Linked DNA regions of Notamacropus eugenii. The protein of the gene in region 1 binds, or shares a complex with, the protein of each later gene. Links are inferred from orthologs where the notes say so. Each region holds a gene or a part of one and is shown in the gene's direction. Other genes may lie near its edges.

What was found.
Region 2: the proteins of HRAS (region 1) and GRB14 are in contact, whole or in part, in a crystal structure (PDB 4K81), measured with the Homo sapiens proteins. The link is inferred for Notamacropus eugenii from reciprocal best matches to the Homo sapiens genes HRAS and GRB14. Residues at the interface, in NP_001123914.1 of Homo sapiens: Glu31, Asp33, Pro34, Ile36, Glu37, Asp38, Ser39, Tyr40, Arg41, Tyr64, Met67; in NP_004481.2 of Homo sapiens: Val109, Lys111, Asp116, Glu117, Thr118, Ser119, Arg120, Ala121, Leu122, Asp123, Lys140, His142.
Region 3: the proteins of HRAS (region 1) and SOS1 are in contact, whole or in part, in a crystal structure (PDB 4NYM), measured with the Homo sapiens proteins. The link is inferred for Notamacropus eugenii from reciprocal best matches to the Homo sapiens genes HRAS and SOS1. Residues at the interface, in NP_001123914.1 of Homo sapiens: Gly13, Gly15, Ser17, Ala18, Thr20, Ile21, Gln25, Asp30, Glu31, Tyr32, Asp33, Pro34, Thr35, Glu37, Tyr40, Arg41, Asp54, Ile55, Leu56, Asp57, Thr58, Ala59, Gly60, Gln61, Glu63, Tyr64, Ser65, Ala66, Met67, Arg68; in NP_005624.2 of Homo sapiens: Glu589, Lys602, Trp809, Thr810, Lys814, Leu822, Met824, Ile825, Arg826, Thr828, Thr829, Thr832, Glu836, Asn869, Leu872, Val875, Ser876, Asn879, Ser880, Ser881, Tyr884, Ser908, Asp910, His911, Tyr912, Lys913, Leu916, Phe929, Phe930, Gly931.
Region 4: the proteins of HRAS (region 1) and RASGRP4 are in contact, whole or in part, in a crystal structure (PDB 6AXG), measured with the Homo sapiens proteins. The link is inferred for Notamacropus eugenii from reciprocal best matches to the Homo sapiens genes HRAS and RASGRP4. Residues at the interface, in NP_001123914.1 of Homo sapiens: Glu3, Gly12, Gly13, Gly15, Ser17, Ala18, Ile21, Asp33, Pro34, Thr35, Ile36, Glu37, Tyr40, Arg41, Asp54, Leu56, Asp57, Ala59, Gly60, Gln61, Glu63, Tyr64, Ser65, Ala66, Met67, Arg68, Asp69, Gln70, Arg73, Thr74; in NP_733749.1 of Homo sapiens: Tyr228, Gly232, Val234, Val244, Asn248, Ser251, Asn288, Met291, Ala292, Gly295, Gly296, Cys298, His299, Ser300, Leu327, Ala328, Ser329, His330, Asn331, Asn332, Tyr333, Ala334, Arg337, Leu351, Gly352, Val353, Leu355, Lys356, Val359, Ser360.

Annotation. Positions count from the first base shown.
Region 1 is NC_092873.1:27,850,109-27,857,677, forward strand, and holds the start of HRAS (GTPase HRas), read left to right. Parts: upstream 1-4,560; 5' UTR 4,561-4,731; intron 4,732-5,253; 5' UTR 5,254-5,266; coding exon 5,267-5,377; intron 5,378-6,216; coding exon 6,217-6,395; intron 6,396-6,479; coding exon 6,480-6,639; intron 6,640-7,101; coding exon 7,102-7,221; 3' UTR 7,222-7,234; intron 7,235-7,349; 3' UTR 7,350-7,569. UniProt on the Homo sapiens protein: Involved in the activation of Ras protein signal transduction. Ras proteins bind GDP/GTP and possess intrinsic GTPase activity.
Region 2 is NC_092876.1:225,021,981-225,029,128, reverse strand, and holds the start of GRB14 (growth factor receptor-bound protein 14), read left to right. Parts: upstream 1-4,140; 5' UTR 4,141-4,369; coding exon 4,370-4,560; intron 4,561-5,833; coding exon 5,834-5,966; intron 5,967-7,148. UniProt on the Homo sapiens protein: Adapter protein which modulates coupling of cell surface receptor kinases with specific signaling pathways. Binds to, and suppresses signals from, the activated insulin receptor (INSR). Potent inhibitor of insulin-stimulated MAPK3 phosphorylation.
Region 3 is NC_092872.1:672,340,545-672,348,045, forward strand, and holds the start of SOS1 (son of sevenless homolog 1), read left to right. Parts: upstream 1-4,497; 5' UTR 4,498-4,636; coding exon 4,637-4,723; intron 4,724-7,501.
Region 4 is NC_092876.1:31,704,806-31,712,589, reverse strand, and holds the start of RASGRP4 (RAS guanyl-releasing protein 4), read left to right. Parts: upstream 1-4,768; 5' UTR 4,769-5,307; coding exon 5,308-5,330; intron 5,331-7,784. Other genes in the region: RYR1 (ryanodine receptor 1), read right to left, coding at 3,667-3,714.

The DNA of each region.
Region 1 (7,569 bases):
GTGTGCATGTGTGTAATCCCACCCAGTACCCAGATAATTAAAAGTTTGAAGAGTTACAAATATTGTCTTTCCATGTAGGAATGTAAAGAGTTCAACTTTAGTAAGTCCCTTATGACTTCTCTTTGCTGTTTACCTTTTCATGCTTCTCTTCATTCTTGTGTTTGAAAGTCAAATTTTCTTTTCAGCTCTGGTCTTTTCATCAAGAATGCTTGAAAGTCCTCTATTTCATTGAAAGACCAATTTTTCCCCTGAAGTATTATACTCAGTTTTGCTGGCTAGGTGATTCTTGGTTTTAGTTCCAGTTCCTTTGACTTCTGGAATATCCTCTTCCATGCCCTTTGATCCCTTAATGTAGAAGCTGCTATATCTTGTGTTATCCTGATTGTATTTCCACAGTACTTGAATTGTTTCTTTCTAGCTGCTTGCAATATTTTCTCCTTGACCTGGGAACTCTGGAATTTGGCCACAATGTTCCTAGGAGTTTCTCTTTTTGGATCTCTTTCAGGTGGTGATCTGTGGATTCCTTGAATACTTATTTTGCCCTCTGGTTCTAGAATCTCAGGGCGGTTTTCCTAGATAATTTCATGAAAGATGATGTCTAGGCTCTTTTTTTGATCATGGCTTTCAGGTAGGCCCATAATTTTTAAATTGTCTCTCCTGGATCTATTTTCCAGGTCAGTTGATTTTACAATGAGATATTTCACATTATCTTCCATTTTTTCATTCTTTTGGTTTTGTTTTGTGATTTCTTGGTTTCTCATAAAGTCATTAGCCTCCATCTGTTCCATTCTAATGTTGAAAGAACTATTTTCTTCAGTGAGTTTTTGAACCTCCTTTTCCATTTGGCTAATTCTGCTTTTGAAAGCATTCTTCTCCTCATTGGCTTTTTGAACCTCTTTTGCCAGTTGAGTTAGCCTATTTTTCAAGGTGTTATTTTCTTCAGCATTTTTAACCTGCTTTTCATGCTTTTCTTTCATCTCTCTCATTTCTCTTCCCAGTTTTTCCTCCACCTCTCTAACTTGATTTTCAAAATCCTTTTTGAGCTCTTCCATGGCCTGAGCCCATTGGGTGGGCTGGGATACAGAAGCCTTGACTGCTGTGTCTTTCCCTGATGGTAAGCATTGTTCTTCCTCATCAGACAGGAAGGAAGGAAATACCTGTTCACCAAGAAAGTAACCTTCTATAGTCTTATTTTTTTTTCCCTTTTCTGGGCATTTTCCCAGCCAGTGACTTGACTTCTGAGTATTCTCTTCACACCCACTTTGCCTCCAGATCTGCCCAGCCAGCACTTGGGGTCTGAGATTCAAATGCTGCTTCCCAGCCTCAGGGCTTTTGGCGGGGGCGGGGCTGCTATTCAGTGTGAGATCAAGTTCAGGTGCTCAGGTGGGGGCAGGGCCGCCACACGGGCTCAGTTCCCTCAGGAGGTTTATGGGGAGACTTTCAACAATGGATCCAAGCTCCTGCCTGCTTGGGGAGCCCTGGTCTGCTCCTGCCTCTGCTGCTGCCTCCCGAGGGCACCTGAGTTATGGGGGGACCCCACTCCCCTCTCGGCAAGCCGAGAAGACCTTCTCACCAACCTTTGGGGCCTGTGGGTGGAGGGACCTGCGTGGCCGCTGGAGATTCCATCCCTGAAGCCTGCTCGGATCTGCTTCTTTTGGTGCCCGCAGGGCCAAGGCAGGGCTGGGCTTGGCTCTGGGTCCAGGGCACGACGGACCTTTTGCAAGAGGTTTCCAGGGCTCTCTGGAACAGAAATCTCATCCACTCTGTTGTTCTGTGGCTTCTGCTGCTCCAGAATTTGTTGGGAGTTCTTCTTTACAGATATTTTATGGGCTGTGGGTTCAGAGCTAGCGTCCATGTGTCTTTCTACTCCGCCATCTTGGCTCCGCCCCTTGTTTACAATGTTCCTGGGAATTTTCATTTTGAGATTTCTTTCAGGAAGTAACTTCCTTCTATTTCTATTTTGCCCACTGATTCTAAAAGATGTGAGAAGTTTTCTTTTATTTCTTGAAATAAGTAGTGCAATGATTCTTAAATTGTCTCTCCCTGACCTTTTATGTTCCCCCAGGTCATTTTTGCTTTTTTTTTTTTAATGAGGTTCACTGTAGTTTCTTCCACTTTTCCCCCCAGTCTTTTGACTTTAATATTTCTTGTCCTTAAACAGAAACCATTAACTTCTATTTGGTACATTATAATTTTTGTAGGAGTCTGTTACTTGGGTAAGGTTTTATGCCTCTTGTTCTAAGCTGTTAATTTTCTCTCCAATTCTTTCTTCTGTGGCTCTCATTCATTTTCAATTTTCTCCCCTATTCCCCTCTTTTATTTTTTGATTATTTACTCTAATTCTCATTTAATTTATAAAATGGCGTTTTAGTTTTTTTTTTTTAAACTCCTGCTTCATCTGTTCCAGAAATTCTCATTGAACTTGTGTCCAAGCTGTGCTATTCTTTGAAGTTCAGTTTGTAGATGTTTTTGGAGTCATTCTCTCCTTTTGGGTTTATGTTGAGTATCCTTGTCATCATAATAGCTTTTTTATGGTAGGATTCTTTTTCTGTTTACTCATTCTTCCACCCTTACTTCCTGATTCTAAACTTCATGTAAGGGTCAGGCTCTGCTTCTGGTTAAGGGCTGAGCCACGTTCGGTCCTCTTAGGTCCTGCTTTGCTCCTAAAGTGGTCTGATGCAGGATTATCTCCCTTTGGATTCAGATGGCACTAGTTATTCCTTCCTCCTCCCTTCCCTCCCCGAACCATCAAACTCAAGGAGATTTCATCAACTTGGATATTCACATCTCATTAAGAACCTCAGTTGCCTTGGACTGGAGGCTTGGAGGGCAGAGCAAAAAACTCCACCCAAAATCTCCATTTAAAAGAGGGCTCAGAAGTCTGACTCTTCATCTTCCAACAGCTGTACTCTTCGGATTCTGTCATCATGTTCCCCCACCCCCACCCCATTCTACTTTCCCATTTCCTTTCATGCCCCGTTAAATCATAAGTTCCTTGAGGGCAGAGACTTTGGGTTTTTTTATTTGTGTTCCCAGTGCTTGGCAAGGTAAAGAAATGTTTGTTGTATTTCTATTTGAGTTTGTGAAGGCTAATCCCTGTCGTCTTGGTTTGAGTTTCGCCAGTTCCAGAGGTCGGTTTAGGTCTTAGCCACATAACTGTGGGCTTACTCCATGTTCAAGTTCCAGTAAACTGCTACTGGACTCGGCCAGGGCCAGCCAGGTGGAAGGCTTTCCAGGTCCAGAGTGGCAGAAATGGAAGCTCCTATTCATCTGGGCTGCCTGCCCTGATTACTCATTCTGCTGCAGGTTGTAGACTTGGCCGTACCTGAAACTCGAGGTCTGCTCTGCTCCCTGGTCAAAGTCCCGGAGCGGGTGTTTGCCCAGTGCGCAGTCCCACTTCGCGGTCCACTCTGCCTGCCCTTGACTCCTGTTCCGGTCTCTCAGTGTGGGTCTGAGAACTCTTCCTTTGCGGTCCTGGGCAGACCCGTCCCCTCACTCCTAGCCTATCGTAACCACCTGCTGGTAGTGGGGAGATCATCTGCTGCTCTGACCATCTCAATCTCCCTGCTCCCCCTGCCCACAAATTCCTGTGGTTCCCTATTACCTCCAGGGCCAATGTGGCTGCTTCCCCTCATTTTCTGTGCTCTTGCATACAGACGCTGGCTGTCGGGCTGGCCCTTGAATGTGCCACTCAATCTCCCGACCCTAGCATTTTCTCTGGCTGTGCCCCACTCCTGGAATGCAGTCCCTCCTTCTACACAGAGGAAGCCTTCCCTGACCTCCTGCCTAGGCTCGGGCAGGGACCACTTGGGTGCAGGGAGCGGCAGCGCCCAGGTGGGGTCAGGGAGGTGTCTTTCGGACCCTGCGCTGACCTGCTGCTCCCTGACCATCCTGGTGGGAGCCCCAGGCCCCGCGGTGTCGGGATGAAGGCTCAGCCCTCCTCGCAGGCACAGGCAGACCCGGGCCAGCACACGCTTCGAGGGCACAGGCTGGCCCACCAGCCGCAGGGGCCCTCTATCTAGGGAGCTGCCCAACAGTCATTCCATCCCTGGCTCCCCATTGCCCAGGGTCACCGCTCCTCTCTTTGAGCTTCCTCAGAGTATGCCGCGCGACCGGCCCAAACTAGCCTACTGCAGTGCCGCAAGAAGTTCCAGCTCCCGTCGCCCCGCCTTTGCCCCGGCAGTTCCCTCTGCCTGGAATGCTCTCCCCTTCTCACCTCCCAGCCAATACCGAAAAGGATCCCGGAGTGGGCGGTGCCTAGAAGGCCGCTCCGGCCACTGATCGGGTTGAAGCAGGCGCTTCAGCCAATAAGAAACTAGACTCTGATGGTCAACTTACTTCTCCAACGGGAAGTAGGGCTGGCTCCAGGACGTGATGGGCAGGAGGCTCAGCCAATAGTCAGAGCCGCTCAGAGAGCGTCGACGGCGGTGAGACCTTGCAGACGGCTAGAAAGGGTGGGCGGGGCCGAGGAATGTCCTCGTACGTGTGCGTGCGCGTGCGCGGTGGGGCGGGGCCGAGGCGCGCGCCGCCGCTCGCCGCGCCCCCGCCCGCCGCGCGCGCCCGCGCCCCGGGCCGCCAGGAGCCCATGCGCGGAGTGAGCCGCCCGGCCCGGCCCCAGCCCCAGCCCCGGAGCCCCCCGAGCCCCCTCCGGAGCCCCCGGCCCGGAGCCCCCGGCCCGGGGGGGCAGCAGTGGCGGAGCAGAAGGAGACGGCGGAGGAGGCAGTGAGCCCGGTGAGCCTAGGGGGGGTCCCGGCGAGCGGAGCGGGACGGAGGGCAGAGGGGAGGGGGCGGCGGGGGGTGGGGAGTGTGTGTGTGTGTGGGGGGGTTATTGGGGTGGGGACGGTGCCCCCTCAGCGGGGAGGTTGGGGGCTCGGGCCTCCCGGAGCGCATGCCGTGGCCGTGGCCGTGGCCTTGGCTTTCCCCTTCTGGGGCAGGGGCACGGGCGGGGGCGGGGTGCGGCCTGGGGAAAGGGGTGCGGGGGAATGCGGGGCGGGCAGCCTACAAACTTGCCCGTCATCCGAACGCGGGGGCTGGGGGGGTTGTCCCGGGGCGTGTCCGTGTCTGGGGGTGCGCGTGCCGTGAGAGGGGGGGACCTGGCCCGGGCCGGGAGGGGCTGGGGGAGGGGCTGCAGGGGGAGGGGCTGCCGGGGGCGGGGCCCCCACCTGGGAGCTCCCCCTCCCCCACGCTCGGGGGCCTGGGCAGGCCTGGGGGGCCGGCCTTGGGGGCCCCTGAGACAGCGCAGCTTCCCCGCAGGCTCCTGGCCAGGATGACCGAATACAAGCTGGTGGTCGTGGGTGCGGGGGGCGTGGGCAAGAGCGCGCTCACCATTCAGCTCATTCAGAATCACTTCGTGGACGAGTATGATCCCACGATCGAGGTAAGCGCGCCCCCACGCCCCCCGCCCCAGGACCCAGGAGTCTGGACGGCGCCCTCCCCCCCAGGCCCCTAGGACCCTGTACGGCTCCACACCCCCGCCCCAGGACCCTGGAGGGCGCCCTCCCCCCACACACCCTGGACCCAGGACCCTGGATGGTGCGCCCCCCAACACATACCCAGAACCCTGGACAGCTTCCCCCACCCAGGACCCTGGAGGATGTCCCCCTCCAACACATACCTCAGGACCGTGGACTTCGCATACACATGCTCACAGGACCCTGGACAGCACCCTCCTTCCCCCCCTCCCCCAGGGCCCTGGATGCTGACCCCTTACCCAACACATACCCAGGACCCTGGACGGCTCCCTACCCCTGACCTAGGACCCTGGATGGCACCCTCCCCCCTACACATACCCAGGACCCTGGACGGCTCCCTACCCCTGACCTAGGACCCTGGATGGCACCCTCCCCCTTACACATACCCCAGGACCCTTGACTTCGCATACACTCACAGGATCCTGGATGCTGCCCTCCCCAGCCAGGACCCCAGATGGTGCGTGCGCGCATGCACACACACGCGCGCACACACACACACACACACACACACACACACACACACACACACACACACACACACACACACCCAGGAACCTGAATGCTCACCCCCCACACCCCGCCCCAGGAACACATACACTTACACCCCAGGTCCCCCTCCCCCAACCCCATCCCCTTCAGAATCACTCCCATCACCAGAAGCAGGCTCCCAGAAGCTTTCCCCAGGAACTCCCTAGCAGGGAGGGAGCTGAGACCTGGGGTTCTGCCTTAACTCCCCCCACTCCAGGACTCATACAGGAAGCAAGTGGTCATTGATGGAGAGACCTGTCTGCTTGACATCTTGGACACTGCAGGCCAGGAGGAGTACAGCGCCATGAGAGATCAGTACATGCGCACCGGGGAGGGCTTCCTCTGTGTCTTTGCCATTAACAACACCAAGTCCTTCGAAGACATTCACCAGTACAGGTGAGCCCCCACCCCACCCTCCACCGGCCCTGCCAGCCCTGCCCTGCCCCACTGGCCAGCTCCTGCTTCTCTCCTCCCATGCAGGGAGCAGATTAAGCGGGTGAAGGACTCGGATGATGTGCCCATGGTGTTGGTGGGGAACAAATGTGACCTGCCAGCCCGGACAGTGGAGACACGCCAGGCACAGGAACTGGCCCGAAGTTATGGGATCCCCTACATTGAGACTTCGGCCAAAACTCGCCAGGTGAAGGCCTCCCACCTACTGTCCCAGCTGCCCGCTGTGGGGGTGGGGGTACAGAGGCCAAGCTGGAGGCCTCTCCCCAGCATGGAGAGACCCAAAAAAGCTGAGTAGCTGAGTACAAGGCCCCAGAACAGCAGGGAGTCTGGGTAGTGAAGAGGTGAGCCCTTGTGTGGCACAGTTTGGGCTAGGTAGGCCCTGGTTGGATGTGAGCTCCTATCTGAAGTGGACCTGGGGGATCCTTGGGAGGTCTGGGTCCAAGATGAACCCTGATCTGACATGAGCCCATGTCCAAGGTGACCCTGGGTCCAAAAGAAGCTGGAGTCTGGGAAGAACCTAGGCCCTGGATGAGCTCCCTCCGAGGGAAGCCTGAGGCTGTATGGCCTCAGGGCCCCAGAGCGGCTCCCTCGGAGGCCAGCCCGAGGCCAGGGCACACCCAGGCTCTGGCTGAGCTGCCCCTCTCCGCAGGGGGTGGAGGATGCTTTCTACACACTGGTGCGGGAAATCCGGCAGCACAAACTGCGGAAGCTGAATCCCCCGGACGAGAGCGGCCCGGGGTGTCTGAACTGCAAGTGTGTGATCTCCTGACCGCGGGGTGGAGGTGAGGCCTGGGGAGGGGGGAGGTCGCGGGCGGGGCTGAGAGCAGGGACCCCCCCTCCTTTCCTTCCCCCATCCCGTCGGCTGGACCCTGAGTTGGCCTTCTGGTCCCCGCCCAGGCTGGGGGTTTGGAGGTGCAGGACCCGAGTGAGGGATGGAGGAGCCGACGGACGGAGGGACGGATGGACCATGGTGGACACACTGACGGACAGTCGGTTGGAAGGAAGGAAGGAAGACAGCGGCGGCCGCCCCTCGGCGCTGCTGCTGCTGCTGCTGCTGCTGCTGGAGTTCCTGGTCCTGCCGGGAGGGCCAGATGGCGCCTCTGATCCCCCCGCAGGC
Region 2 (7,148 bases), on another chromosome or scaffold:
GAGAGCCTTAGGGGAACAACTATGTGAGCATTAAATGGATGAAGAACCAGTAGGTGTTCCCTACAGAAATGAAACTCTAGATCTGGTCCAAATTTAGAGATAATATTTTCCTTAAAATCTTTAAAATATCCTTGACTTTCCTTATAACTTTTGAGACAATTCAACTGGATTAAACATACAGATGACACATAAGTAAATAGAAAGAGAGAGATGGATGGATGGAACATTTATCAAGTGCTCATTATGTGCCAGGCACTGTGTTAAGTGCTGAAAAGTGAAAATATAAGCAAAGAGAAAGAAAGAAAGGAAGTTCCTGTTCTCAAGGAGATTACATTCTAGTGGGGGAGGGGAAGAGAACACTCCAAAGGAAACTGAAAAATGAGTATAGGAGGAAGGTGGCAGGAGCAGAACTAGGTGAGAAGTGAATATGGCTGGCCTGGGGAGCTTTCTCAAATAGAGCTTCTGGGCAGGAACTCACCAGTTGAAACGGGGGCCGCAGGGATGAAGGCAGCCAGGACAGAGGTAGAAAAGTTTTGAGAGTCAGGAGAAAAGAGAGACAAGAAAAGAATGAGAGGAGAAGAACTGGAAGAACCTAGTGAATACATCTTTATCAAGGAGTTTAACAACAAAGAGGAGGAGAGATATAGTATGATAGTGGGGATGATAAGTCAAGTGAGGCTTTTTTAAGGATGGGGGAAGACAAACATGTTTATAGGCATCAGAGTAGGAACCAGGAATTGAAATAAGTGGAATATAAGAAAGAGAATCAGGATGATAATAGGGAAGATCTATAGGAGAAGACAGGAAGGGATAATAGGATCACGAGTGCATGTTAAGGGATTGACCTTGACAAAGAGAAAGGCTACCTCTTCATCTGAGATATGAAGGAAGGGGGAGATAGTAGAGAAGATGTCTTAGTGATATGAGATGAAAAGGAAAGAAGAAGGGGGGCTCATAGCAAATGGACTTTTTGGTGAAATCTGGGGCAAAGTCCACATTTGAGAGGGTGAGGGTTAGGGGTGCCAAGGAAGATGTTAGGAGAGATGAGAAAGCCTTGAACAGCTGCTTTGAAGAATGAGTGAATAAATTAAGAAGCAATAAAATGATTGTTTCCCTTCAGTAAAGGCCCACTTGAGATTAGAGAACATAAATTTGTAGTGGATACAATTGGCATGGTTTTGTGATTTCCTGTAGTTTCATTCAGCAGCACATGAGCAAAAAGAGACAGATGATGAGAGTAATATAGGGGTGGGTTTTGGCAAGGGATGATTGGAGATAAGACAGGGCAGCCTGTGATCAAGAGAAGAGGTTAATGTAGAGTTGAGCTGTTTTACCAAGGGGTCAAGATAGAGAAAGAAGAGTATAGCTAGTGAAGAACAGATTGCCTTGCAAAGTACTCAGTTCCTTCATAGCAGAGTTTGTCTTTGTTTTCCCAGGGCTTAGGGCAGTACCTGACACATAGTAGGCTCTTAATAAACGTTTATTGACTAGCTGACTGACAGTACCAAGACGTAGAAGGAATTATAGTAGTTGAAAGGCATAAAGACAGAATGACAAAAGATTATGATTATATAAATAATTTCAGAGTTAGGATCCAGATTAGATGATTATTTAGAGGGCTTGACTCTAAGGCAATAAGAAAAAAGATAAATTTCACTGAGACAGGGAAAAGAGATAAGAATGATGGTAGTATGTATTTTTGGCAGTTGAGGATAACAGTTCTAGACATAGTGCTTCTCCATAGAGCACCCTGGGTATCCAGAGTGAGGGAAAGCATGGACGGAGGAATTAAACACAATGGTTTTGGACAAGGAGAGATGAAAAGGGGTCAGAAGTGCCCTAAGAGAAAGGTAATTTAAAACAAATTGATGGCTTCATAGATTTTACCTAGACTTGACCTTTGTCCAAAGTCTGGAAATTATCCAAGGAATCATACCTATGTTGTGACATAGTGATCTGAGTTCTGGCTACTTTCTGTGCCCCTGTAAGTCACTGTCTAAAAGTCCCTTTTTCCCTTCTTTTACTGTGAAATTTTAATAACTTTTTTTTTTTTGTTAGGCAATCAGAATAACTGCAGGTTTTATGACTGCAAGGGTCTTTCCGTGGAATCTGCTCTTGTAAACCACTTAGAAATGTAAAGTCATGTAATCTGTTTGCTCATGGGTTTCCTCGGTGTGGATTATAACAACACCAGTCAGGCTTTGTAAAGACTATCAAGGTATTTCTGGGAGCAAATTCAATATTTTAGTGTCAGTCTCGAAGACCCTAAGTAATTTAGGTTTTGGTTACCTTAGAAACCTTTTGTCCCCCTGTGAGTTGCCGTTGGCTGTCAAACACAGGACTGTTTTTGAAAGTCCATAATTCTTTATTCCTGCAGCAAAGGAGAAACATTAAGCTTGCAAATGAACACAGTCAGGATTTTATTTGAAGGAAAGAGACAGTTCTGTTATTATGTGGGTGGAGGGAGAAGGAATTTAGAGCCCACTCCAACCAACAAATTATATTTCTGAAGGTTTGAAAATTGAACTGAGGGGGAGGAGAAATACATCATATGGAAAGCAGCTGGACTGCACTGGCTTTGATTGTCTTCTCTGTTATCTCCTTATCCTTTTTTCCTGCTACTTGAGGGGAGGAGGGAAGGTAAATTAGAATATAGTGGGGAAACTCCCTCAGCTATCAATTTAGCTTCTCCTTCCCTCATCATAGAACTCCATTGCCAGACGGTTCCCAGAAAATCCCAAGAAGGAGAATCAGCCTTTGAGGAGTTTAGGGTTGAGAGAGAATGAAGGGGACATAAGCTTTGTAAAATGTATCCCTTTGATTTTTTCCTTGTGGGATCCTAACTCCTCTTTTAGAAATTATGCCGACTCTGATCTACTTGTATACTTCCCAATATAGGCATTCCCCTACTTATAGGTGAGAACAGAATGAATTCTATGAATTCATTCCAAGTATCCTGAGTACAGCCTTTTCCTCCTATTTGGCCAAAGTGCTGGCTAGTCAGTATACCTCAGTTTCAGTTTTGACCCTGTCACTTATTGATCTTGGGTAAGCAATTTTCCTTATCTGGGCTTTTGGTTCATCTATAAAATAGCAGGATTGGGCTAGATCATTTCTGGTCCCTTCTAGTCTTAGGATTCAAGTTGCAGCGTTTCTCAGACTGGGGTGGGGTGGGATGAGGTGTTAGGGAATTTTAGGTATTAGGCATAATTTTTATTTACAAAGCTCTGGGATTATGGGTTTAATTCTGGAGGCACGATGTGTTTGTTTTGTACACTACTGGGTTGTGGGGATCAGAAAGATTCTGGTGACCTTATAATAGTAAAGATCCTTACGAATCAAACTCTAGGAGCCGCCCAATTTAGAGAGCACATAAATTTGGAGAAGCCTTATCTCATTTTTCTTCGGGGTGGGGGAGCCATTGTTACTTCAAAAAAACCCAAAACAAACCAAACCAAAAAACCCCACACAACCAAACATTTATTCTCCTAGCCTCCTTTTTCAGTAGCAAGCCTTTCTCAATTTCATGGATATTTTAAAAGGCATTTTCAACTCTTCAGAACAGTAGGTGATGACATATATGTAAAAGTAACAGAGGGAGGTTTCTTTTTCATTTCCCGGCACTGGTATTTCAGACTAGAACACAACAGAAAAAAAAAAGTCTAGCAGCTGGACAGGGCAGCTAATCCACAGCTGGTCCTGCTGGCAAGGTTCTGGGCATTATCTGTTACTGGCCCTGACTTAAGCTGAGCTAAAGAAGGACACCACCCTCCTCCCAGTTACAGGGTCTCAACGAGGCCAGCAAGGTTTATGCCAAGGACGTGAGCGGCCCAATGACCACTCTGTCAGCTGGATAAAGCCAGGGGCCCCCTTCTAAGCTCCTTCTCAAGGAGAGCTGGGTTGGCTCCCGGGCAGGAAGAGAAGTTTTTGAGCAGCCGGGCCTGAACTAGCGACCACAGATAAGGTATGCCCACCGCCCGGGGGGGTCTTCTGCTGCCCCCCGGGGCGAGGGTCTTCCAGGAAGCCCAGCTCGAACGGCCGGCGCCCCCTCCTCCCGCTTCTCTCCTAGGCCACGTGCTGGAGGAAGGCTCTGCAGCAGCCACCCGGGCGGAGCTCCTGCGCCCACTCCGCCCACTCCCCGCCTTTCCCGGGGCCTGGCCGCCCACCTTGCCGCTCCGCCCCTTCGTCCGCCTCCGCCTCCCCAGGCAGCCCAGCCTCGAGCCCGCAGCGCCTGCCCGGCCCGGCCCGGCCAGCTTCCCGGGGAGCGCAGCCACCGCACCTGCCGAGCCCAGCCGCGGGCACCCCGGCTCCCCCTCCTCCCTGCGGGGTCTCCCATGACGCCTGAGCTTAGCCCCTCCACCTGCCAAGCATGACCACTTCCCTGCAAGATGGGCAGAGCGCCCCGGGGAGAGCGGCTGCCCGGGGCTTGGGGCTGGCCCAGGTGTGCGGCGCTGCCCAGGAGAGGGGCGACGCCGGCGCCCTGGCCGCGCGCCCCCCGGGGCTGCCCTGTCGGACGCTCCTGCCCGCCCTGGAGGGAGCCCACTTTTGTGCTGAGGACAGGTAGGTGGCCTCCGGGGAGGGGAGCCGACCGGGGTGAGGAGGACGGTCCTGGAGGGGAAGCCTGGGCTAGAACTCCGGCCAAGTTTGGGAAAAGTATCCCAAGACAGTCCCCTTCCCAGCTCGCTCCTGGGATCGCTAGGACATTGCGATCTCCCGGTGTCTTCCCCTAGACAGCCTTGCCCATTCATTGAGAGCCGCCTCTCCTTCTCCCTCCTGACACCCGCCTCTTCTGAGTGGAACCAGAAGGCAGCGAAGACTCCAGGGTGATTTTTTTTTCCTTCGAGGCCCTGCATTTTCTTAATAAACACTCTTGGTTTCTTTAAACTGTAGCATAAATGAAACCTCGCCTCCCACACAGACATTACCGGTACCTAGCCAGAAAAAGCAATGCTCTGGATGGATATTTGATCAGTCGTGCTTCCCGCAGGCAGAGGATGGAGTCGTTTAAAATATTCTCCAATCTTATACCGTTCAGCATCAAGTACATTTGTAGTTGTCTGTGTCTAAAGTAGGGCATTCCTTAGGAGAGAAAAGGCTGCAAAGGTAGAAAGCTTACAGATTAAACCTCTTATTGACCTCCTTCAACTCCCATGGCTCAGGTACCGCTTATTTATTTATTGATTGTTAGGTTCGGAGCATTCTAAACTCTAGCAAAGTTACATTACTTTTCGGTGCACTGCAGTGTTCATTTATACTAGCAAGTTCCATTAACTGAACTGCTTTCAAAGACAGTACTAGTTGCTGTTTTGTAGCTTAAGCATCTGAGAAGTCAACAGACTGTGTGTGGGCAACGTTTTGAATGAAATTTGAAGGGAGATGAACCACAGCTATAATTAATAAGTATAACTTTCAAAATGTGATTAGTAAAGTATAATAGAACAGGTTTCTCTAAATGCAGTAAAGATTCCCTTCTTTTCATTGAAGCTTTTAAAGAATTTTTTTGTTTGTTTGTTTGCTTAGAGCAGTTTCCATCTACCGTTTTGGTCTATGTATTTTTGCTTCAGAAAAGTTACCAAAAACTGCCGTTTACCCACATGCCTGATGGTTTGTGGAAGGTCAAAAGGGTAAAGGATATTACAAAAGGTTTAAGTTTATTAAAGTAGTTTTTAAAAATTTAATCCACAGAAAGTATAACAGAAAACCTTTTAGTGTACTTTATGTAATATTAGGTCTGTTAGAGTACCGTTTGGCCTTAACAGTTTTAAATTCTGACAGTAATTATGTTTTACATTCTGTTTTATGTAAATTATATCCTATGTTCTGTTGGTTGCAGGAGAAAAAAGAAAGATCTCAATGTTCTAGAAATGCCATCTATTCCAAATCCTTTCCCTGAGCTTTATTGTTCTCCATTTACATCAGTGTTTTCAGCAAGCCTATTTCCCAAAGCAAACTCAAGGAAAAAACAGGTATGGTTTTTAGTTTCATTGTTATAACTCTTAGGATTGACAAAATCACATAACATCCTAAAAGACACATTCACTCTTCTGATTTCGGTTTTTGTGTCTGTGGTTTATTTAACAACAGTCATGAAAAGGAGTCAGGCTTTCCTCATAGTGTTAGCTTCAAGGCTAAAAACTCCCCAGTAAAATATGTGAAAAATCAATATGTGTTTAGTTGTAACAAATTGTAACAAGTATGATATATTAAATAACACAATCATATATATGTGTGTGTGTATATATATATATATACATATATATATACTGTGTATAAATATAGTAACATAATTTCTATTTTCTCCCTTTCCAACAAGTATTTATTAAGCACACAAGGCCAAAAATGCAGTGGTTCTTGCCACAAGTAAACAACTGTAAAGTATATGCAAAGTAATACAAATAATTTCAAGAGGGAATTTCATGAGAGTGGGTGATTAGGTTACCAAAATCCTTATGTAGGAGGTGGTACCTACCTTGAAGGAAGCTGATTCTTCAAGGTGGAGGTGAGTAGGGCGTACAGTCTAGATAAAGAAGGCTTGATCCTCTATCCCCTTTGTTAGATTTCTTTAGTTCTTGAGATCCTCCATGCCATTAACTCGGTCACCCTTTAGTAATTCAGTGACAAAGTTAATTGGGCTCCAAACTTCTTCCATTTTTCCTTCCAGCATTTTGAGTTCTAGAGGAAGGCTACTTGGAGTGAAAGTTTGGAAGCCTCTGGCTGCAGAGGGGAATGGTGGACAAGGAATTGAAAGGTGATATTTAGGTATTTAAGATTTCTTCCTTTTCCTGGCACATAGTAGGTGCTTAATAAATGCTTGCTCATATGACTGTAAAGGTTCTACTTTGGGCTTATACATATGTATTTTTTGGGGGGGGGGGGTTGGGGGGGGAGATGGATCAATCAGCTTTACTTCTCATTTTACTTATGATTCTTTCCACGGTCTTTGGGGAGGGGGGAACACTAGGGATCAACAGGCTTCTACCCTTGGGCTTCTAGCCCAAGGAAGGTAGGAAAGAAATAAAAAGTGGGAAAGGGGAGGGGAGAGATGTAGTTGGGTAAGCAGATTTGGGCTTTATATCAGGAAAAACTTCCTACCAGTCCGTTGTTCAGAAGTGCAGTGGGCTGCCTTGATGTGTGATGGGTTTTCCTTT
Region 3 (7,501 bases), on another chromosome or scaffold:
ATTTTGGAGATGGGTTTAGAATGAATTCCAAGGAAAGGACATCTTTGATCCACTAATTGGCCAAAGGCCCTGACATTTTTCTAATCCACTCTGCCCCATACTGTTCAGCCATAGCCATTACAAGTTCATAACTTTTCAGAACCTCTTTCTAAAACCCACGACCTTTGCGCCCACAGTCCAGGAGTTTTCAGGGCCAGACTCTTTATTTGCTCTCTAAGCAACATCAGGCAAGGTTCATGCATATCTTGCTTTGAACATGTCCTCATTTGGTGAACCAGAGGACATCTTTCTACTTTGTTTTTCCTTTTTCCTTAATTTTGTGAAAAGCAGGAGCTTTAGTGAGGGATGTATTTTGGAACATATGGCAGTAGGAATTTTATAATAGGAAGAAACATATGAGGAACCTACAGAACATGATCCTTGTTTTCTCAGAACTCTCCTGGAAATGTTTGTAGCCCTCTTATGCACTTTCCAAATTTCAAGCCCCTCATCCTCCTAGCTCTGATGTATTGTTTTTTGGTTACTGTTGGAAATAGATATCCAGCCTACTTCAGTTTTCCTCAGCTTCTGGTCCATTTCTGGGCAGACCCTCCCCCTTAGCAAGAAGATAGGAATGGTGGCCCCTGGTCTTGGCGCTCGTTGTAAAGTTAGAAGCCCTGGATAGGGAGTCAGATGGTGCCTGTCACTAACTGTGATGGAGCAAGTCCCCCCCTCCTTATCCACAAAATGAGCAGGTTTGGTTCAAGAGATCTCAAAGACCCTTTCCAGCTATGTTCATGGTCCTAATTCTGGAGAGCAGGCAGATAGCAGGCTCCAAAATCTGCTGCAAGACTGTAAATGGTGGGAAGTGCGCAGCCCTGGAGTCAGAGGCACCGAGTTCGAATCCTGCCCATGCCACTGGTGACCCAAGTCACTTCATTTATCTGTCACTCCACCGTTCCCTCCTCGGTTGGACTAGAACGAATTCTTCATCTCGGCGGGGAAGGAGGCGGTCTGCCCTTGCCTGGTGTCATGGACCCCTGGGGGAATTTCAGAATAATATTGGTAAATGAATAAAATACGTGGGATTACCAAAAAGCCAACTCTACTGAAATGCAATCATGTAAAAAATCTTTTAAGACGTCACGTTCCCCAGAGTAAGAGTTCCTGCTAGGTCCGCGGATTCCCTTCTACGTCAGGGAGTCTCGACAGACACGTTATTAGGGATGAGCTGAAGAAGCAGGGGCGGGAGGATGCTCGCGGGGAGCGCAGGGACGTGGCCGCTGGGGCTGCGCCCGCACGCGCGGCCCTCCCGCCTGCAGGGGGCGTGTCGCGGGGGCTGAGCGGGGCGGAGACTGAAGAAGCCTCCTTCCGCTCCCTGGAGCGCCGAAGCGCGGCCGAGCTGCTCGGAGCTCGGCTACCTGGTCTGGACGCCTCCTCTGAGCATCACTTCCGCCCTGACGCGGGCCTCCCTGAGTCTCGTCAAGGAAAGAGAAGCGCCCGGGGAGGCAGCCGCGCAGGCGCCGCCCGATTCTAACTGTCTGGGTTGGGGTCGCGGGGGTCCTGGGGCTGCCAGTCACTGCCCCGGGTCCCCGCCTCACACCGGGGACTCCTGAGCCGTTTCCCTTTCTTCTTTCACGAGGATGTATATTCTTTTGTCTCCCACAGAATGGACGGGCTACGTCCCCAGCCGCAGCCCCTTCCCCATTTGTCCACCCTTGTCTGATCAGCAGACCTGGCCCTTTGCCCGTCCCAATCCTCAGGCCGCGATGCTGGCCCCGTGAATTTAACTTATTCTTACTCGTGAACCCCTCCTCCATCCCCCCCCCCCCCCCCCCCCCGCATTGGGTGGCTGAGCATGCCCAGTCCGATCTGAAATCCAGTTATCCGGGTTTTACTCCACGGCCGGGGAGCGGAGCAGTACCTGTACTTCTAGCCTGGGAGAAGAAAGGGGGAGGGAGGGGTGTGTGTGTGTGTGTGTGTGTGTGTGTGTGTGTGTGTGTGTGTGTGTGTGTGTGTGTGTGTGTGTGTGTGTGTGTGTGTGTGTGTGTGTGTGTGTGTGTGTGTGTGTGTGTGTGTGTGTGTGTGTGTGTGTGTGTGTGTGTGTGTGTGTGTGTGGTGGGGGTGGAGAAGAAAGGGGGAGGGAGGGGTGTGTCTGTGTGTGTCTGTGTGTGTCTGTGTGTGTCTGTGTGTGTCTGTGTTGTGGGGGTGTCAAGTTTCCCTCACCTTGGTAGGGACTCCTCCTTTGTACCCACAGTCCAAGAGTTTTCAGGGTCAGGCTCTTTATTTGCTCCCTAAGCCCTATCAGGCAAGGTTCATCCCTGGCACTGCAGGCAGAACCTGAGAGGATGCAGGGTGGTGGTTGGTGGTGGTGGAGAACGGCATTAGACTGATAGGGGTGCCCTGTTGGAAGGAACCCGACAGAGATCGCAGAGGTTTGTTGACAAATTTTGATTGCTAACTGCATCGCTAGATCTCGCGTACTAGCTGTGTGACTTGGGGCAAGTAACCTCCATGCCTTAGTTTCCTCATCTGTAAAATGGCGATAAACCTTCCAGGATTGTTGTGTGGACACGTTCAGCGCTTTGCAAACCTTAAAATGCGTGTATGTATGTGTGTATATGCATACGTGCTATTACTCTGGTGTCATGGATAGAGCACTGGTTCTAGATTTAAGAAGACCTGAGTTCCAGTGCAACCTTAGACACAAGTGGTGTGACCCTGGGCAAAGCACTTAACTTCAGATTCTTCATCTGTAAACTGGGGATAATAATAGAACCTACATCCCCAGATTGTTGTGAGGATCAAATGAGATATTTTAAAAGTACTTTGTAAGAGCTAAATATCTATACCATAGATTTTGACCATACCATTTTACTTAGTACTCACATCCCAGAATTTTCTTTCAGCGGTTGCTGATATTTTTTGACTATGCAATTAAGAGGACAACAATGGACGGCTTACTAACATTTTCACGCTCCCCTTGCTCCTTTATTTGAGGGGTGTCATTTCTTTCCAGCTTCCACTACTTTTGTTTCTGAAACCAAGGAACTACATTGCTCTAAGTATCACCTGCTGGAGCACATTCACCAGTTAAGAAGCTCGATCCACCTTTACTCTAGTTTTTTGCTTTGTTGTTATTTTGGGTCTCCGTGTTCTTCCTAGGATGAAGTGTGTAACCATTAAAAAGATATGAACCTTTTCTGGGTCTCTGGGTTGTCAATCCAGTCATTTATGAAGCTCCTACAATGTGCCATCACTGTGCTAAGAGCTGGGGAATACAAAGAGTCAACGCCGTGCCTGTTCTGCTCTCAAGGAGTTGTCTCTCTTAATGGGGGAGATGATGCAAATTACTATGTACTCGCAAGATGCACACAGTGTAAATAGAAGGTAATCTCGGAATGAACGAGCAAATGCCGTTCACGTTAGAATAGATGACCTCTAAGGTCCCTTCTGACTCCTCCGATGTGCCCTTGTGTCCAAGAATGACCAATTAAACTGCACAAGTTGGCATCCTCAAAGGGAAGGAAAGGGCGAGTGCAACACGCATACCTGCCCTATCCCTCCCGGGAGAGCTTAGGGACCTGTCTCCTTTGGAGGTTGGCTGTACAGTGCCTATTCTATTTTAGGCATTCACCCGACACCTCTCTGGGTAACTAAGTCTGCGCCTCACCCCCCCGCGGTGCTTCTGATACGAAAAGAACCCCAGACCTCGAAAGGTGAAGCACGTTCTTTCATGTGACCCCATCTCACAACTCTGAGAGTGCTTTCCCCTGGCTCAGCTGGTGTCCCTCAGCCACCCCTCCTCGCAGTGTGACACTACTACCCTCGCTCCTTCCCCTCCTCTCCAGTGCCAGGGCTGAACTCCGAGCGCGGCCAATCTCCCTACTTCTTGAATCCCTCCCCCCCCCCCATCCCTCCAGGCCCTTCGCGGTTGAAGGGAAAACCTGGAGCCGGAGGAGGTTGGGGGCGGGGGAGGGGGAGGTGGCAGCCGCTAGAGACTGCGAGCCGCTGTCCCCGCTGCTGAGCATGCTCAGTAGCGAGGCAGGTTCCACTGAAGTAGGAAGCTTGAGCTTTACACCGGCGGCGGTGGTGGCGGCGGCGGTAGCACCTCGGGGCGGCCGGGTTCCTTTAGAACCACAAAATCGGGCTGTTCCCGTCCTCCTCTCCTGCTCTGTCCTCCCCGTCTCCTGGGACCCCCCGGGCAGCCTAGCCGCCGTAGCGGAGGGAAGGGGCGCCGGAGACGTCTCACTGCACGCCCCCCCTCCTCGGGGCTCCGCTGCAGGGCCAGGCCGGGCCGGGCGGGCCAGGCCCGGGGTAGGCGCCCAAGGGGACCCTGGGGGCGGCTCCGCGCTGAGACAGGGCCAGCGGCGGCAGCGGCAGCGGCGGCGGGGGTGGGGGGGAGAGCGCCGGCTCCGGCCCCGGCCCCGGCCCGGGGGAGGCGGTGCGGGATGCCGCCGCCGCCGCCTCCTGGCCCGGGCTCGGCTTGGTCCCTGGTCCTGTGTAAGTGGCCGCGCCGGGCCCCCGCTCGCCTTGCCCTCCGCAGGGGCCGGGTGTGAGAGCTCGGCCTCCTCCTCCTCCTCCTTGTCCTCGTCCTCCCCGCCCCCTGGCGCCCCGCTCGGCCGCCGCCGCCCCCCGGAGGAGCCCCCGGGGCACCATGCAGGCGCTGCAGCTGCAGTACGAGTTCTTCAGCGAGGAGAACGCGCCCAAGTGGAGGGGGCTGCTGGTGACGGCCCTGAAAAAGGTGAGGTGGGGGCGCGGGCCGGGGGAGGGGCGGGCTGGGCTCCGGCATCCCGCGGACGGCTTGCCCGGTTTCTCGGGGCGGTGTCGGTGCGGGCACTGCTCGCACGGCGACTGCGGGAGGCTGTTTGTAGCGGCCACCCACCGAAAAGCTTAGTGCCTAGCCCCCTATCCTCCTCCCCTTTTCTTCTGAGTATGTCGAGGTATGCAGAAGAGTGTCTAAAAATGATCCCCTGCTGCCTTTTCATTCTCTCCATCCCTCCATTCAGTAAGCCGTGAAGAGGCAAGTGAAAGGCAGCCCTGTCCTCAAGGAGCTTTTCCTCTCCTTTGTATATTAGGAACTAAGGTCAGCTTCTTGCCCTAGGTGCCCAGGGCCCCTGCGTGAGCACTGTGGAAAACTGCCCACATTCATCTGCAGGCTCCCTGAGGGAAGGGACTGACTTTGCCTTTGTGTGTATCCCCCGTGCCCAGCGGAGTGTGGCACCAAGGAGTCGCTTAAGAAATGTTGTTGATTTGACTTTTGACCATCTTGTTTGCCCTAAGTAATTACGCTGCTTGCCTTCGGTTAGCTACGGGATTAGATCTTTTTGGCTTTGTTTTTAGTAATCGCTTGCCACCATCCAGAATTGCCCCACCCCCCCATGCTCCATTTAGTAAGGCTATGCGAAAATAGTACTATTTGATTTATCAGTTATTACATTGGAAGGCTAAGGTTTTTGCTATTCGAATTTTGGCTTGATAATCAGAATTTTCAGAATTATCATCTCTTTGCAATCTGTAGCTGCAAACTTTTAAAAACAACATTGTGTACCAAAAGGACATTAAGACATCTGAAATTGGAATCCTTTAAAGAATGTGTACTTGTGTGACTTCTGAAGTAATAATTTGTTGTTTCTTTTCTAGTCGTCATTTCTGTTGTGCTGCATTTAGAAGTTACTTTGTCTTTTCCTATTTTTTGTTAACTTTTTTAAAACATGTTTTAAAATCCCTGTTACCATATTGTTCAACACTGAAGCTTAACAAAGTAACTCTGTGTTTAGTGATTTGTTCTTAAGATACATTTTACTTTTTGTTACTCTAGTCTAGAGAATTGAATTTAGAGAACAGTTACTCTTTGTATGCTTATTACTAGATTATTATATCTTCTTAATATGTCTTGAAAGGTATAGAAAGGTTTTCATTCTCACTCCCTTTTTCCTTGTATTTCCTTGTATTTTTGTATAACTTTTCACTTACTTTTTTCTTACAATGTTATTAAGTTCAGACTTCAGTGAACTGTTTTTTCTAAAAAAATCTAAGTTTTAGAAGCAAATGGAAAATCAAATTGCAGAAGTACCTTCATTATGTGCAAATCAGTATTCTTGCAACTTAAAGTACATAGAACCCAGGAAGCAAGAAAAATTTTCTGAGTCGCTAAAAAGATGTTACAAAGCTGGTAAATTTCACTCAAGATAATGCATTAGATCCTCACTTAGTTCTCCCTTTACTCTTATTTCATGCATGATTCTGCATTTAAGTGTGGAAGGAACTTGTGTCACTAAGGCATCCAAGCAGGCACTGATAGCTTCATAGTGAGAAAGAAGGGAGAAAAACTGTAAAAAGTAAACAAAACTCAAGCTTAGCTGTCTGGAGCCATTAGGAGCAAATAGCCTTACACACCTCAACAACCCCCAGGGGCATTACTGTATTACCACATGACCCATCATTAAAGTAATGATGATACTGAGTCACTAAGAAAAGGTTCAATTATGTTTAGTATCTTACCTTGGGGAGAGTAGAGTGCATCCCCGTGACTGTAGTGCCAGAGCAGGGATAAGGGTCCTCCTCCCCTCTCCTGCTTCTATACTTTAGGTCTTACTATCAAGCAGCTTGGTGGGGGATAGTCTCTTTTAATGTCCCCATTAACTAAAAACATTCTTCAATAGACTCATTTTAAGGAGGCAAGGAAGTACGTTATAACTTTGAGAAAGATTTGGCCCTCAAATGGGGTAAGTTTCATTTATCTGGAAAATTAACATGTGTGGAACAGTTCATTTCCTGATGCTGGATAGATGAGGTGTTACTATACTATACTTGTATGTGAGAGAAGAGATCAAGTAGGTCACAATTTGTGACCTATTGCCCTGACTAGCTCAGATGTTATTTAAAAAACAAACTATTATCTTGAAATTGATACTACCTCAAGGGAGGAGAATTTAGAGAATGTCTTTTGAATGTTGCTTTTGTGTTTCTTTTGTAACTCAGATTCCTTGTTGTTAATTTTAAAAATCCACCATCTAACACAAATCTTTAGTTTATTAGGAAATAGTCTACCTAACTACACATTTAAAAAAATAAAGTTGATGTCTTCTGTTTCTTACATCATTATCCTTATCCCAAGTATCTCTCTTGCTGTTCCTCTCAGAGAGCCATCTCATATGACAAACAGCATTGGGGGAGGGGGGGAAGGGAAGACAAGAATCAGTACAACTGATAAAAGTCCAAAAACATATACAATATATAACACTTTTATAATTCCTACCTCCCTGAAGGGATGGGCTGGGGATGTCCCCTCATATCTCTTCTTTCCAGTCCTTCTTGATCTTTGATTTTGTTACATTCACTTCATATATGTGTATATATATGTATGTATGTATACACACATATTGGTGTGTAGTTCTTTCTATTTACATTGTTATAGTTACTGTGTATATTGTTTTCTTGGTTCTGCTTACTTCTGGGTCAGTTCATGAAGATCTTTGCCTGTTTTTCTCTATTCATCACATACATTTCTTACAGCAGA
Region 4 (7,784 bases), on another chromosome or scaffold:
TACCCTGAGACCCCAAACCCTCATGTTGTTCAGTCCTTTCAGTTGTGTCCGATTCTTCATGACCCCATTTGGGGTTCTCTTGACAGAGACGCTGGAGAGGTTTTCTACTTTCTTCTTCAGCTCATTTTACAGATGAGGAAACTGAGGCAAACAGGGTTAAATGACTTGCCCAGGGTCACATAGCTAGTGAGTGTCTGAGGCTGGATTTGCACTCAGGTCTATCCTGACTCTAGGCCTGGTACTCTATTCATCATGCCATCTAGCTGCCCTGGACCCTCATATTCAGGGTTTCTAGTCCCAGTTCTCCCACTTACTCCTGAAACTCCCCTTCTTACCCCTAAATAATCCCAAACTTCCCACTCTGAGATCCCCAGCCTTTCATCCTTGGTACTCCCTCCCTGCCCCTTCTTAAGACCTCAAATAATTTCACAGAAGTAGCCTCTCTATTCAGAGATCCCAAGTCTTCAGTCTTCTCTTTGCCTGTTCAAGCAGAAATTCCCACCCACCATTCTGAGACACACTTACCAAACCTCTTACTCTGAGCCCCTGGGGAAAGGGAAGAGGATAACTAAGCAATAATTAGGGAAATTTGCCACATTTTTGCCCTTCTTATCCCTTCCACATCCCAGTTTCCTTCCCTCCCCCTGGACTCTAGTATCTCTCCAAGCCATACATTTCTCTCTCCAGCCCAGCTCTGAGACATGCCCATCTGCCTGCCTGGTTTTATCTATACAGCCCATTCCTCTGGTATAGGTGGTTTAGGGACAAAAGCATGAGACCTGTATGGCCTTGGGAAAATCCCTTAATCTCTCTGGGCTTAAATTTTCACCTATGTAAATGAAAGTTCAATTAAGTGACATTTTAAATGTACCAAGCACTTGCTGTGGGTCAGGGACTGTGGTAGATACTGGACAAATATAGATATAAAAGGGTCCCTGTCCTCAAGAAGCTTATATTCTGTGGAGGAGACTCTGTATATGGTTAAATAGAAAGAGGACCCAAATCCTACTGTCCACCCTTATTGCCTGTGTGACCTTGGGCAGGTCACATCTATGGGTCCTAGCTTCTTCATCTGAAAAGGAGAGAGTTGAAGTTGTGGAATTTGTCTCGCTTGACTATGGATATTCATTATGGGTGTTTTTTTCCTTTTTTTCCCCCTTTTTCCATTGGGAGAGGGCAGGAGGAAGAGAAAATAGATTTTCATGAATTTAAAAGAATGACATTAAATGAGGCTGGACTAAAAAGCAAAGAAGGACCTTTCTAGCCCTGAATCTGTTCCTCTTGTCTGATCCTTTGATCCTTTAAATACAAAATATTTTGGTGGTGGGCAATGCTCTAACCATGGGGGAGATTGGGAAAGGTTTCCTGCAGGAGAAAGAGCTACCAGGTGGAGGTGAGAGAAGATGGAATCTCAGGCAGGGGAGGAACAACTTAAGCAACAGCAGAGAGGTGGTAGATGGGATGTCATGTATAAGGAACACCGCGTAGACCATTGTGGTTGGAATTCAGAATGCATAAGGAGGAATAATGTGAAATAAGTCTAGTAGGACACATTAGAGTCATAATGTGAAAGTCTTTAAATGTCCAAGCAAGGAAGGGAGCCATCGTGGTTTCTTGAGCAGGGTCAGACCAGTGCTTTAGAAGTAGTCATTTGACAGCCATGAACTGGATGGAATGGGAAGAAGGCAGAGTAGGGAGACCAGGACTACCTCTTCTCCTCTACTCTCCAGCCCAGGAATCTGAGTAGAGCTGTGGCCTAGGTGTGGAACTGGGCAAAAAGAGCAAAAGAGGGCTACTTTGTGAGGTACTGCAGAATGGAAAGGAAGTCTTAGTATAACGGAATAAGCGCCGATTTTGGAGTTTGAAGACCTGGGTTCAAATCCTTCTTCTATCACTTATTATCCACTGTGACTTGGGCAAGTCGATCCACCTAACCCTCAGTTTCCTCATCTGTAAAATGAGAGGATTGGACTAGATGGCCACTAAGGTCTCCTCCAATTCTGAATTAGATCTAGAACCCAGGCCCCGGAACGCTCCAATCCCTTCGTCTTTGTCTGGGGAGGTTAGATTCTCAAGTCTCTCAGATCCCTCCCAGATAGACATCACATAGTCCTTTTAAGGTTCAGTCCCAATTCTGCTTAACAGGATTTTAAGACTGATTGCAAACACACCAATCAGAAGCTTCCGAGTGGGGCTGGTTAGCCAATCCAAACCCGCTGCTGGAAAGCGGGGATTGCGAAAGGTACCAATAGGCTCGGACTCTGGAGAGGGTCAAAGCCCTGTAGGGATGGGGGGGCGGGGCAAGTATGCACAGCTGTCTCTGTCTCTCACCCCACAGCCTTCCACCCTCCCCCCAAACAGCGCCTGACTCCTCTCCTGCCCAGTCCCCCACCCCAGCTGCTCCCCCTTCTAGAAATTGGACCCTTCCTTCTCCCGTCCTCTCCTGCTTAGGGAAGGTTAGGTTTCTGCTGAGAAGGTGCCCCTGTCAGCATTTTCATGAGCCCTGGGGAGGGAGTGGGGATAGGGCTTCCACCGTGGAGGTATAAAGGGCTGTATTGAAGACACACCCTGACCCCCAATAAACTCAAGCCAGTCTCCAGGGAGTGGGAGTAGGGGGTGTGGAGTGCAGAAGGCAGGGGTACCTCGACTCATCCTCCTTGGAGCACCTCCCCCTCCCCCTCCCCCCTGGCTCCCCGCCCCCGTCCCCACCAGCAGCCCCAGCTATTCTGGGCAGCACACCTGTTCCCCCAAATTCCCATCTCCACCCTCGCCCTGGCCTGACCAGGCTCTGTCATGCAGAGATTGAGAGACCCAGAGACAAGAGACCCAGAGACAGGAGGACGGAGAACAGGAGAGAACCCAGAGACACAAGGATTCAGAAGACAAGAGCCTAGACTCTTTGGCATGTTAGGACTGGAAGGGGTCTTTGTCAGCTCATTCCCGTTATTTGACAGAGGAAGGAACTGAGGCCTAGAGAGATGGAGATTCAGAGACGGAAGCACCTGGGACTCAGAGTCAGACAGCACAGGAGACCCCAAGGAATACAGAGATAGAGACAAACTCCACCAGAGACCCTGAGGGTCTTTACTGAGGGGGAGGGGAACTTGGGAGCAAGGACAGTCAGAACTCCTCCAGGCTCCCCCAGCCAGGACTCCTCTCCACCCCTCACCCCAGGACTCTAAGTGGGTCAGAGCAAGGAGTTGGAGAATGAGGCCGGTGGGGAGGAAGCTAAATTAAGCCGACAGGGAAATTGGCATTAATACAGAGCTGTGGTCCTGGTCTAAAGCAGTCACCACGTTACCACCTGCATTCCAGGGTGGAGGGGACCCTCCTTTCCTCGCATTACCACCACCACCCCGCCCCAAATCCAGGCGGGCCAACGGGATTTTCCTCCAAGTCCTACTCCCAGACAATGAGACAGGGACCCAGACACATTCAGACACCAAGAGAGACAGAGACAACCATCCAGAAAAAGGCAGGGACAGTCAGAGACGGAGAATGAACCTGAGGGATAGGCCAGAGACGCAAGGAAACAGATCTTGAGAAAAACAAGGTGTTCATAACCAGAGACCCAAAGAGATCCTTAGTGGCAGAGTAAAAGAAGAGATAGAGAAAAGACCCCAAAAAGTTTAGAGACCCAGAAACCCCAGAGGCAGAGATACTCACAGTTCGGAGAAACTGGACGTCATCCTCGCCCTCCCCTCCATCCCCCATGATCCCAGGGAGCTGAGGCTAGGACTGGGGCCTGGGAATCTGGGGAAGCTGGGCCTGGGGCGCTGATGGTGGGGACTGAGGGGCTGGACACTTGGAGAGGGTGGCTGGGAAGGCGAGGACAGAGATGGCACTGGGAAAAGAGCTCCGAAGGGGGCAATGGGGGTGTGTGGCTCTTAGAGCCCGCCCTCTGGTTCCTATAGGTTCTGAGTTTTGGAGGGGAGGAGATATTGTATTGGCCCCGCCCCTCACCCATAGCCCCACCCCTCCTCTTTCCAGTCTTGCACCGGATCTCTGCTGAGGCTGGGAGATGAGATGGTTCTAGACAGCTGGGTTCTAGACAGCTACCCCATTCCCCAAACACCTCAGTTCCCCATACCTGAGGTCTCTTGAAGGAAGAAATTCCTTAAATATAATCTAGTCTCTCTCCTCCCCACCCTTTCCCAGTGCTAGTCCCCAGTCCCTTAGAGGTACACATGTATATTTCCATAAATCTGCGTGTCACTCACACACACACACACACACACACACACACACACACACACACACACACACACACACACACACACACACACACACACACACCCTCATCTGCATATAATTTACGTGGCACTGAGCCCGTGCCCCACCCACTAGAGACGGGGCACATGACCTGGGCTGAACCACTGAGTGCACAGGTGTGTATTCTTAGGGAAATATGCTCACTAGGTATTATGGGTAATAGACTGGGGCGGTGGGGAGGTGTAGGAAACCTCAGTACGTCACCTTGCCTGACTTCCCTCCCCACTTCCCCCATCAGAAGACTCAGGAAACCAGCAGTTTCCTTCCTCACTCAGCACATCTGCACCATTTCTCCAGCTGTGTCATGGGAGAGGAAAGAGGGGAGCCCCTAGGATCTCCAAGCACTTACAGTCGTCATGTTTTACCAACTATCCCTTTCACTCTTTCCTCTCTGGGGCAAGGAGTCTCCAACTTCCCTTGAGGTCCAGGCCCGCTTTGGCTGCTCCACTCCCCTCTAGCCTCATAGGGAACCAGGTACAGCCGCACAGATCCTCGAGGGGGAGGGAAACATCTGCTTTCTCCTCGGGCACAGCTAGATTCACTATAGAGAGAGCTGGAAGAACATCTGTAAGAAGCAGGTGTAAAGTTGATATCTTGGCCAGAATGAGAAAGTGTTAGGGGGAAAGGGACAGCTGATAAAAAGAGAATCTGAGACAGAGATGATGGGGGTTGACAGTGGAAAAAAAGAGGCAGAGATTGTGAGAGAGATAACATACATATCAAGAGAAACAGAGAGGGCCAGAAATACCCAGTGAGACGGAGACAGAGACCCAGGCGGAGCTAGAGGGCCAGTGTAGGAACCTCAGAGGATCCCCCTCCCCCAGGCTACCCAGGGCTGGTCTCTCCCTGTGTCTCTTCCTCTCTTTCTGACAAGCAGTGGGGGGAAGGGGGTCAGTTCCTCTTTCACTGGGAGGAAAAAAGTCCAGGCTCCAGTAGCTGTGAGGGGGCCCTGAGGGGGAGGGGCCCAGAGACATCCAACCCGGCCTGGTCTACCTAGGAGTCTAGACCTCCTCCCCTCCCTCCCCAGGGGGCAACATGAACCGGAAAGAAAGCAAGAGGTGAGGGGATCCCCTGGCCCCTGCCCCTCCTTCCTTACTGACTCCCTTCCTCCTGTTCTCCAGGCCCCTCCCATTCTCTTTATATCTGTCTCTTATTGGGGGTGGGGGGATTATGGGGAGGACGGATGGGAGGGAAGTAATCTAGCCAAGGATAAGTAGAGAACAGGTCTCCTAGAAGTTTAGGGTCTTGTATCCTTAAGGGAAGGATGAGGAGAGAGGAAAAAGAGAGGTTTAAATTCCTAGTTCTGACCTTTTCTCTTCTAAGGACCTTTCTAGCGCTACACTTCTATGTTCCAAGGAAATCTAGCTCTGCTATTGTCTCCCAATTTTGACATTCTCTATTCTAAGGCCAGCCATGGCATTCTCCATTTTAAGGTTTTTCCAACTCCGGAGGTGGGAGGGGAGTCAATCCAAAGTGGAGTGGGAGGGAAGAGACAAAAGGCTCGAGTCCCCTCAAGACTCCTATTCCTCTAGGCTTCAGGACGGGGTGCACTGTGATCTCAGGCAGTGTTCTCCTTTACTGGGCTTCAGTTTCCTCCTCCATAAAAAGAAAGGGAATGACTGAAATGATCACTAAGGTACCAGCTAATGCACCAAATGATGAATGTCAAGCAACCTATGTATTCTTGTGTTTGAGCGTCTCTCCACATGTAACAATGTAACTCTATGTGTAACTATGTTTCCATGTGGAACTTTTTGTCTCTATCTCTATAATGGTGTATAACATTATAACTCTGTGCCTCTAGTGTAACTGTATCTGTCTATATAACATTGAAACTGTCTCTGTATAGAACTTTGTATCTCTGTCTTTGCAACTTTGTAATGCTATCTCCATGTGTCACTTTGTCTCTCTCCCTCTGCCTATTTATATGCATAAACATGTATCTCTGTGTGTTTGTACCTTTCTGCAACATCTGAAGAATCTGTGGGTGCCTCCATGTATACCGATGTGTAGCCCTGTGTCACTCTGTATCTCTTGTAACACTTATTTATAACCTTTCTCTGAGTGTAACATTGTGGCTGTGATACCACCTATCTCTGATTCTGTATTACTCTGTGTGTGTGTGTATGTGTGTGTGTGTGTGTGTATACATGCTTAGCTCACACTGTATGCTTGTAATGTAAAGATCCCTAGACTTAGTAAAAAAAAAAAAATGGGGGAAGAACCCAGATTTCAAGCCTCTTATTTTTTTCTTGAGCTCATCAGGTCATCTCTTGAGGCCTCAGTTTCCTTATCTGTAAAATTTGAAATTGTACACCTAGAAGGAGGCTTAAACCTCATTTGGTCCATCCACCTCATTTTACAGGTGAGGAAACTGAGGTCCCAAGAAGTTAAGAGGTTAGCTCAGTGTTACACAGGAGGCAGAAGTAATGAATCTGGGGTTGAAACATAGATCTTCCTTCTTCAAATCTACAGCTCTTTCCACTCTGTCATACTAGCTGGTTTCATTGCAGAGGTGGAGGCCTGAGGATGTGCATTACTTTATGGCCAGGCATAGTTGTTTTATGATTTCATTTGGCAGAACTGCTTTTTTTCTCTTCTTTCTTGTCTTTGCTACAAGGGAAGGTTCTGGAAGGAGGGGAATGAAAGAGATAAAGAAACAAAAGATTTCTCTCTATTTCTCCATCTGTCTCTCTATCTCTGTGTCTCTCTATCTGTCTCTAATGAGGAGGTTAGATTTGGTGAGCCATAAGGCAGCTTTGATTAAAATCCTACTTCTACCAGCTATGTGAACTTAAAAAAGTCATATAACTTCTCTGGACCTCAGTTTCCTTTTCTGTAACAAGAGGATGATATTTGTGCTTTCCACCTTCCAGAATGATTGCAGAGGGAGCAGTTTAAAATGACCCTGATGTCATCTTAGAAATGAGTTATTATTATCACTCTGTGTCATTGATATCCATCTGTCTATGTTGGTATGTTTGTCTCTGCCTGCTTCCCTCTCACCCTACCCCCATGCCCAAGGATGCCCCCAAAATAGTCTCACCACTCCTGGAAAACCACTATGTCTCAAGGTGTAGGGCAAGAGAAGAGTATAGTATACCTGAGTCCCTAAGGCTCCCCCCAGGGCTGGATACTCCAGGTTGCCTTTGAGATCTCAGGAAGTGACACACAACACTCGGGTTGGCTGGGTCCCCCGCCCCCTAATTTTACCAGACCTCTGCTCTCCTCTGAGGGAGATGGGCCAGGACCAGGGACAGGGAAAGACCTGCCTGGCAGCAGGTAAGAAAAGGGCAGGAAGGAGGGAAAGGGGTGGAAGTGGATTTCAGAGCAAGGAAATGAATTTTGCACTTCCCATTCTGCTGGAGGAAGTGGAGGAGCCAGGCAGAGGAAGGGGAAGGAGCTGAAGTTCTGGGCCACTCCCAGACGCCTTCCCACCCTTTGACTTGGGGTGGGGGGAGGAGAAGCTGTTCTCTGATTGGAGGCCTCAGAGACTTTCCCCAATTTGAATT